Linked DNA regions of Caenorhabditis elegans. The protein of the gene in region 1 interacts with the protein of each later gene in a pairwise test. Each region holds a gene or a part of one and is shown on either strand. Other genes may lie near its edges. The genes, in order: cbp-2 and pcn-1.

Region 1 (4,231 bases):
AGTGCAACTTTACTCAAACACGGAACAAATGCCGAAGTGACTCCAGGACAATGTGAATTCCAAATTGGAACCTGCGAAGGAATCGATATGGGAGATCAGTTGTGGATGTCGAGATACATTCTGCACAGGTACATAAATCAATCTTGTTCTTATAGTTGTATAATAAAATGATTTCAGAGTTGCTGAACAATTCGGTGTCTGCGTATCGCTTGATCCCAAACCAAAGGTCACCATGGGAGACTGGAACGGAGCCGGATGCCACACCAACTTCTCCACCGCCGAAATGCGTGCTCCAGGTCCACCGATTGAAGCCGCCATGACAGAACTCAAGCGGACACATTTGGAGGCGATGAAGGTGCACGATCCATGGTGGAGAAGATAATCTTCGTCGTTTGACAGGACGTCATGAGACAAGTTCGACTGACAAGTTTCTCGTGCCAATTGCGGATGCTCAATCCGTATTCCGAGACAGGTGGCTGCGGAGGGAAAGGGATATCTGGGGGATCGTCGTCCGTCGTCAAACTGTGATCCTTATCAAGTGACTGCGATGATTACACAAAACATGCTCTTCTAGGATGATGTAGATATCCGGAACAAAAGAGTGCACATATTTGAATTGAATAAAATAAAATATTCATGAGAATGTGTGCTGTTTTTTTTGTTGAAACTTTCAACTTGAAAGTGTTGAGATAGAGAAAGTTCCAGAAAACACGGTAAAACCCTTCATATTAGCGGGGTCTGCACATTTGATTGGCTGATGCTACTCGCCCGGAGTGAAACTTTCCGTCAAGGTGTCAAAATCTAACTTAACCTGTGATATATGTTTCGAGCTGTTTCCCATTTTATTTTCCTTTCAAACGATTCGAAAGAATAATATGCTGGGAAAAGTCAGTACATTCATTTCCATAAACCACAATTTATTGAAGAGTTCACTTAAACAAGTGGCAATTTTGAAGAGCTGCTTTTGTTCTCATTCTATGGATCCATAAGTACTGATGCTGCGTCTTTTGTACTGTAAATAAAATTTGGCAGAATAAATTGCAACATTTAATTAATAGTCCATCTATGCATTTTTCCGCACCGAGTTTTATAAATTTCCACACTCTATATAGTGTTTCACTATGTTGAACACAGTACATCAATGGCGTCAACAGCAAAAACGATAATTATCATTCCGGTTACTTTCTGATTTCAAAATCGCAGTGTATCACATGCTAAATATTGATAACATAAACTCTTTCATTTCATTTCGTTTTTGCTCATTCTTAAAATGAGTGATTCAGAGCATAATTTTATCGATTTTTTATACACTGCTGGGCCATAGTTCTTACAAAACATTGCCTTTTGTGTATAATTTTCCTGTCTTTCCTATTATTTATAAATGTGTTAAAAATGTACAACTCAACGACTGATATTAAAAACCAAATTGTGATACAATATTCGTCAGTTCTCTCATTTGTTACAATCTAAAATGGATAACTATTTAGATCTCTTCTGAATGATTTTGATTCAGTTTCATTTAGATTTTGCCGTTTTGAAAATTTTTCAGGCAAACCGTCAGGCTGAAATTACCCAATTTTGACACCTGGAGGTTTTTCTTTAGGTTTTGTCGTTAGGACTTTGTTCATTTTTGAATCAAGCAAATATCACTGATTTTCGCATTTTCAACCTTATAATTTTCTGTCGTGTAAAATTGTTAGTTTTTGACTATCACTAAATATTTTATCAAATAAAAATTTTTCTACGTGTTTTAAGAAATTTATAAAATAATAACGGATTAGCACAATTAAAGTTATCAACAAAACTTGTTTGTGGAAAGAATTATGATCGAAACTGTAAGATAACATCTGTTTAGAACAAAAAGCCGTAACATCAGCTCTGGACGGCAACTTCTTTTGGATTAAGCATGCTTGCACTGCAGCAAGATCCCGTGAAGCAGAAGCTTGTTCAGCAACAACTTGTTCTCTTACTCCATGCACACAAATGTTCACTACGTGACAAGGTATGTTTTAAAGCATATTCCGGTTTCCGAAATCAGCTATTCCAGGAAAATAATGAGTTTGCTGCCAGGAATCAACCACTTCCTCATACTACCTGTAGATTACCCCATTGCCCAACTATGAAGGAAGTATTGATTCACATGACAAACTGCAATGTTGGTCGTTTATGTCATTGTAAGTCTATTACGAGCTGGAAAGAGTTTCGAACATTTTCGCAAGAACAAGCGCCTATTTCCACCAAAAATTTCGCTTCACACTCTAGTCACTGCTTCAGCTACTACCTCACAAACTAAAAAAACGTTCAGTCGCTCATTGTGCATCGTCTCGTCAAATAATAGCTCACTGGAAAAACTGCTCGAGGGAAGATTGTCCTGTCTGCACACCACTCAAAAGGGCACGCGATGTCCCGTTAATATTTTCATGTAAGTTCTATCCATCCTACTTCAGAACATTTTCGAATAATTGTTAATTTACAGTGCCCCATCTGGCCAATCTGATAGGCACCAAAGGAAATTCTTATGGAAGTGCAGATGGTGAAGTAGTTCATCAAATCGGGGTGTCGACAATGTCAGCGGGACGTATAACAAATGGAAATATTTCAAACTTACCACCGCCAAATGTGCCGGTTCGTACAAAGGAATGGCATCGTCAAGTTACAAATGATCTCAGGAATCATATTGTCGGAAAATTGGTCAAAGCGATATGCCCGGCACCAGAGATGATGAATGATATTCGGTTAAAAGATTTGAATGCCTATGCCAGAAAAGTCGAAAAAGAGGTGTTTGAAACTGCAATAGACCGAAAAAATTACTACCATTTGTTGGCTGAGAAAATTTACGAGATTCAAAAAGAGCTTCAAGAGAAAAAGAATTCAAGACTTAATCAAGGAGCTGCCCAATCTCCGTTGGATGAGTTTGCTCGAATGCGTATTGATGAAGGTGGACATCAGTTAAGGTAGAAATGTAACATCAAACCATATATAACATTTTTCATCACAGAACCAACCAAGAAACTGAGACAAATAGGCAAAATCAAAGCCAACAACCATTAATGGATATCAATGTTCAGTTGAATGCTGCAAAGACAGAGGAAGAACTCGAATTGGTATTTGCCGAACTTATGAAGAATCCACAGTTGTTCCATGCTTGATTCTCTGTGAGTTCTGACTCCAACTCTTAACGCATCTTACTTCTGCTCAGAAAGTCTTGATCAAAAACTGATATCATTCCAATGCGGATCCAGTGTTTTTGAAGGTTCCTCTAATAGATTATTTTCAGATGCGGGAAAATCAAAGATGTGCTGCATCAACAACATAAATTTTTCGTAGCTATATTAATTAATATGCTGATTATTTCAAATTGACTTTTCAGAATTCGGTTGGTGTTTGTTATATATATAATTAAATGTACCTTTCGAAAATTGTAAAAGTGAAAAATGTGAAATGCATATACATTGAATACATTGAATAAATACATTGAATTGAATATGCTAAAGTATCATTTAGGGCTGTAAAAACTACTAAAATATTTGTGGGTGCGTGCCAGGTGTAGCTGCATCATAACTGCCTTCCTACCTATGCACCAGGGCTGTGCGGCAACCGGCAGCCAAGTTGCCGGTTGCCGAAAAGTTGCCGGTTGCCGAAATTTTTCGGGTTCGGCAACTTCGGCAATTGCCGGTTGCCGAAATTTTTTGAGTTCGGCAACTTCGACAACTGCCGATATCAATGTCAAACATTTTATAGCTCAGAAAAAAGCATTCAGAGAGCCTAAAAACTTCGAAAATTTCACTGTAAACGAAAAAAACGACCATACTTTTTATCCAAAACACTCAAAAATATAATTTCAACAAAACAAATTTTGAAACCTGGTTGCCGGTTGCCGAAAAGTTGCCGAATTTTCGGCAACCAAATGTTGCCGGTTGCCGAAATTTTTCGGGTTCGGCAACTTCGGCAATTGCTGGTTGCCGAAATTTTTTAAGTTCGGCAACTTCGGCAATTGCCGGTTGCCGAAAATCTCGGTTGCCGCACAGCCGTGCTATGCACCAGGTACCTGCCTCTCTGAAAATCCTTACGCATATTGAAGTACAGATTTAATCAAAATGCCACCCTCTGGATCAGAAATCACTGGTGTGTTTTTTTCAGTTTCCAATTTTCTTTATTTTCTCGGATCCTATATATTTTTCTAATGGCAATAATGGCAACTCGACTGAATAAAATACGTTCCAGTTTAATA
Region 2 (4,025 bases), on another chromosome or scaffold:
CTTCGTAATGGGTGTCGCGTGGCAATTCAAAGGCTGGAAATGGAATGGAAATCCGACGGACATCTTCACCCACATTCCTGCATTCCATTTCCACGTCGACCAGGATAAGCCGGTGGCTCAAGTGATGCAGTGGAATGTACACAAGATTCCAGTCTCGGCGACGAAACGGCACATGGATAAGGCTCGATTCAGTCAAGTTTGGGAGACAATCGAGAATTTTGTACGCAAGAACAAGCCACATCTCACCGCCCGTCTTGGACTCTGAAAATTCTCGGAAATTTTCTTTTTTTCTTCATTTTTTGCAAATTTATTTATTCATCACTTTTGATTTTATTAAAAATGCCATTTTTCTTCAAACAATTTTTAATCGAAAATTCAAATTTTTAGCGAAAAAATCATTTTCCACGTGGCGAAATCGTCATTTTTGGAGTGGAGAAAATTCGATTTTCAAGCGGAAAATTGCCCAATTTTCGTCAGTTTTCGTCAGCCAGGCGGCGCGGTCGCGTCGCGGCAACAAATTTTTTAATTCGTGAATTTTCAAGGTAATATTTTGGAGAAAAATTCAAATTTTCCAGTTAAACATTGTTTCGTTTTTTGGCCAAAATTGCCTTCTAGGATTTTCGAAATATTGCTCCATTGGCCACGCGGAGCGGTCGCTTCGCGGCTTTTTTTTTTTTCATGATTACTGGCTCAAAACTAGACACTTTGAATTCCCAAGTTAAATTCATTTGTCAAAATTCTTCAAAAGAGTTCGGGGAGTAGTGCGATTCAGAAAGCAGAAAGTGAGAAAAAAATTAGAGGTATAGCACAAGTATTAGAAATATACCAAAAAATTAGGTGAAAATTAGCGGGAGAGAGGGAGAGATCATGAGTAATTTAACGGAAATTGAGGGGAAATTTAGTCCATATTCTCGTCGTCGTCAATCTTTGGAGCCAAGTAGAAGCGAAGATATCCATTCTCCTCGATCGGATACTCGACAACGACCGGAACATCGTTGCACAGAGAGAGACGAACTCTGTCGGAAAGTGCCGTCGCCTTGGTGAACTGATTCATGTACTTGATCGAGAAGTTCACATTAACCGGATCCTTGACCTCCAGTGTTACAGCCTCAGTCTCATCGTCAGTGTTGGAAGATGGGGAGTAGGTGACGACAGAAGATCCGATGTCTCCCTTTCCGGTGAACACGATGCCAGCCTTGGTGGCGGTGATGTTCAACGAGTCGGAGAACGTCGACAGATCCTTGCAAGTCTTCTGGAACTCGCCGGCAGGCATCTCACAAACGACGGCGTAGTCTTGATCCGGGATCCCGAGATGTTCGCTGTCAATGTCCATCATTTTGACTGTCACGTCTTGGGTCTTGTCACGCTTTGGATCGGCGAATGTGAAGATGATCGAGTCGCCTTCGTTTTCCTCATACTGCAATGAAAATTGGTAATTTTTGGGCTTAAAATTGGAATTTTTCGGGGAAAAATCGATAAAAAATTTGAATTTTCAATGATTTTTCAGGCGGAAATGTTGTTTTCTAATGATTTTTAAGGCATAAAATGGAAAACTCGGACTATTTTGGCATAAAAATCGATAACAATTTGAGTTTCCAGTGATTTTTCGGGTGAAAAATGCTGATTTCCGCCAAAAATGTGAATTTCTAATAATTTTTAGAACGAAAAATGATTAATTCAGACTATTTCGGCCTAAAAGTCTCTAAAAATATTAATTTTCAATGATTTTTAGTGCGAAAAAAAAAACTGATTTTGCCACTTTTGACTACCGAAAAACCACATTTTCGGATTTTTCGGGCGAAAAAGTCCGAATGAAGCGATTTTTCGCATGAAAATCCACAATTCAAGGTGAAAAATGCTGATTTCTTCGATTTAAAGCTTTTACAATCACCTTCAGCATGCAGGTATCGTCGTTGTTGGCGCACTTGAGCGCCTTCGACATATTAGCCAACGAAAGTCCGAGGTTGATGGTCCGATCGCAGCGATATGTGTCGAAAAGGCCGACCTGAACACGGAAAATTAGCTAATTTTCTTCATTTTTCCCAATTTTACCTCCAACTTGAGCGAAACCAACGCGACGTGAGACGAGTCCATAGCCTGAAGGCTCATCGCCGTCTCGGAGCAATCGAATGGAGCATCGGTGACGAGATCCTTGATCGATTCGACGATCTTCTTAAGGAGTCCGGCGTTGGCGAGCTTGGCCTCAAACATTTTGACGGGAGATCTGAATAAAAATTATGAAATACAGCGAAAAATGCGGATTTTCACGGGAAAAAATGGGTTTTCCGCGGATTTTCATTGAAAAAACGAAGGAAAATTATTTTTTCACTCAGAAAAGCGAAAAAATCGCGAAAAACCACAAAAAAATAGGACGAAATGAACGGAGAAAGTGCGATGAATGAAGTTTCGCGCGCGTTTTCGAATGAAACTTCGCGCCTCAATTTACCGCATTCAAAAAGTGCGCCAGCAGTCGTCCTTTGCGCATTCTCCGTGCATTGCGTACCAGGCATTTTATTTGACGCGCAACACTTTAGAAAAGCGGTTTTTAATGGGGAAATAACGAATTTTCGAGGCAAATTGGTTGAAAAATAAAAATTTTAAATTTCAATAAAAAAATTTATAACAAAAATCGCTGGTAAATTCATGAAAACTGAGGCCTGGAGTTTGACACTGCGTACAATACATATAATTTGACGCGCAACTTATTTTGACGAATTTTATAATTAATAAATTAGATTTAAACCTTATTTTCAGACGTTTAAAGAACAAACAAATCAACTAAAACGTCATAATTTATTTTTTAGGCATGTTTGACAAAAAAACCTCGAAAAACCAATTATTCATTCACAGAAACAACAAAAACCAAGACTAGTGATTCAAAAAGGCAACCAATCGCTTAGCAACCCGAAAACACCCGAAAACGCATAGAAAAACATAAAAAAATAAATTATTCCCGCCGAAAAATCGTTCATTTTTCCCAATACGGCCACTGTTTCTTCATGTACCATGCCGGCGGTGTGTCGGGAATATTTCCGCAATGATAGCGGTAGATGAGGAGATTGTAGGAGTATTTTCTGCAAAAACCGAGCAAAATTTTTGAAATAATCGAGAAAAACCTACCCATCGGGCTCTTTGACTTGCTCAATATTGCCAATCAGGTCAAAAGCCGTCACAACATCCCCTTCCATTTGCTCATCGCCCTCGAAATACTCGCCAGTGCGGATAGTAAGCTGGAAATTTGGATTTTCATGAAAAATTCCCCCAATTTTTTCAAATTTCCCGCCAAAAATCCCTACTTTCTCATACTGAATCGTTGAATATGTGGGAAGAAGGTCATATTCACAACACATAAGCCGCAGACTTCCGTCAGAATGTTGAGTTACTCCCCCGACCCACGAGGAATTGGTGGAGCATGTCGTTGAAGTCGCTCGTTCCGGGCATTCCTGGAAAAAATTGAGAAAATGATAAATTTCATGATTTTTACTAGGATTTGCACGATTTTTCACCCTAAATTCGTCTTTTTGTGCATTTTGTGGCAAGATCTAGTGTTTTGGGGTACGGTAGCCGGTGTTTTCACAAAAACGGGGCTACAGTAAGCAAAATTAATTAAAAAATGGGCTAAATAGCTAAGAATAAATCGTTTTTCAAAACGTTCGACAATAATTTGATGAAATATCAAAAAATCAATTAGAAACGGTAAGATTTTCGCATTTTGGAGCCATTTTGCGACATTTCGTGCAATTTGGCGTCAAATCCAGTGCTTTGGGTTACTGTAGTCGGTGTTTGCACGGAAATGGAGCTACAGTACGGATATTTTTGCTAATTTTCGAAAAAAAACCGTCGTTTTTACAATTCTCGGGTTAATTTTTCGATTTTCTGTGCATTTTTTCGTAAGATATGGTTTTTGGGGTTACGGTAGTCGGCTTGTGATTGGAAATTTCTGAAATGTTTCAAAAACTAATTTAAAATATTTTTCTGTATGACAAAAATGTGTTAAAATAGGGTTTTTTTTTAGTTTTCCGGGT

The links.
Region 2: the proteins of cbp-2 (region 1) and pcn-1 interact in a two-hybrid assay, tested with the Caenorhabditis elegans proteins (2 studies listed by BioGRID).

What each region holds. Positions count from the first base shown.
Region 1 is NC_003281.10:9,921,319-9,925,549, forward strand, and holds cbp-2 (histone acetyltransferase), read left to right. Parts: upstream 1-1,855; 5' UTR 1,856-1,906; coding exon 1,907-2,002; intron 2,003-2,047; coding exon 2,048-2,174; intron 2,175-2,305; coding exon 2,306-2,422; intron 2,423-2,476; coding exon 2,477-2,954; intron 2,955-2,998; coding exon 2,999-3,149; 3' UTR 3,150-3,155; intron 3,156-3,277; 3' UTR 3,278-3,482; downstream 3,483-4,231.
Region 2 is NC_003282.8:4,047,225-4,051,249, forward strand, and holds pcn-1 (Proliferating cell nuclear antigen), read right to left. Parts: upstream 2,225-4,025; 5' UTR 2,212-2,224; coding exon 2,053-2,211; intron 2,006-2,052; coding exon 1,892-2,005; intron 1,418-1,891; coding exon 899-1,417; 3' UTR 713-898; downstream 1-712. Other genes in the region: cdc-73 (Cell division cycle protein 73), read left to right, coding at 1-265; wrt-5 (Warthog protein 5), read right to left, coding at 2,969-3,074, 3,121-3,230, 3,297-3,443. UniProt on the Caenorhabditis elegans protein: This protein is an auxiliary protein of DNA polymerase delta and is involved in the control of eukaryotic DNA replication by increasing the polymerase's processibility during elongation of the leading strand.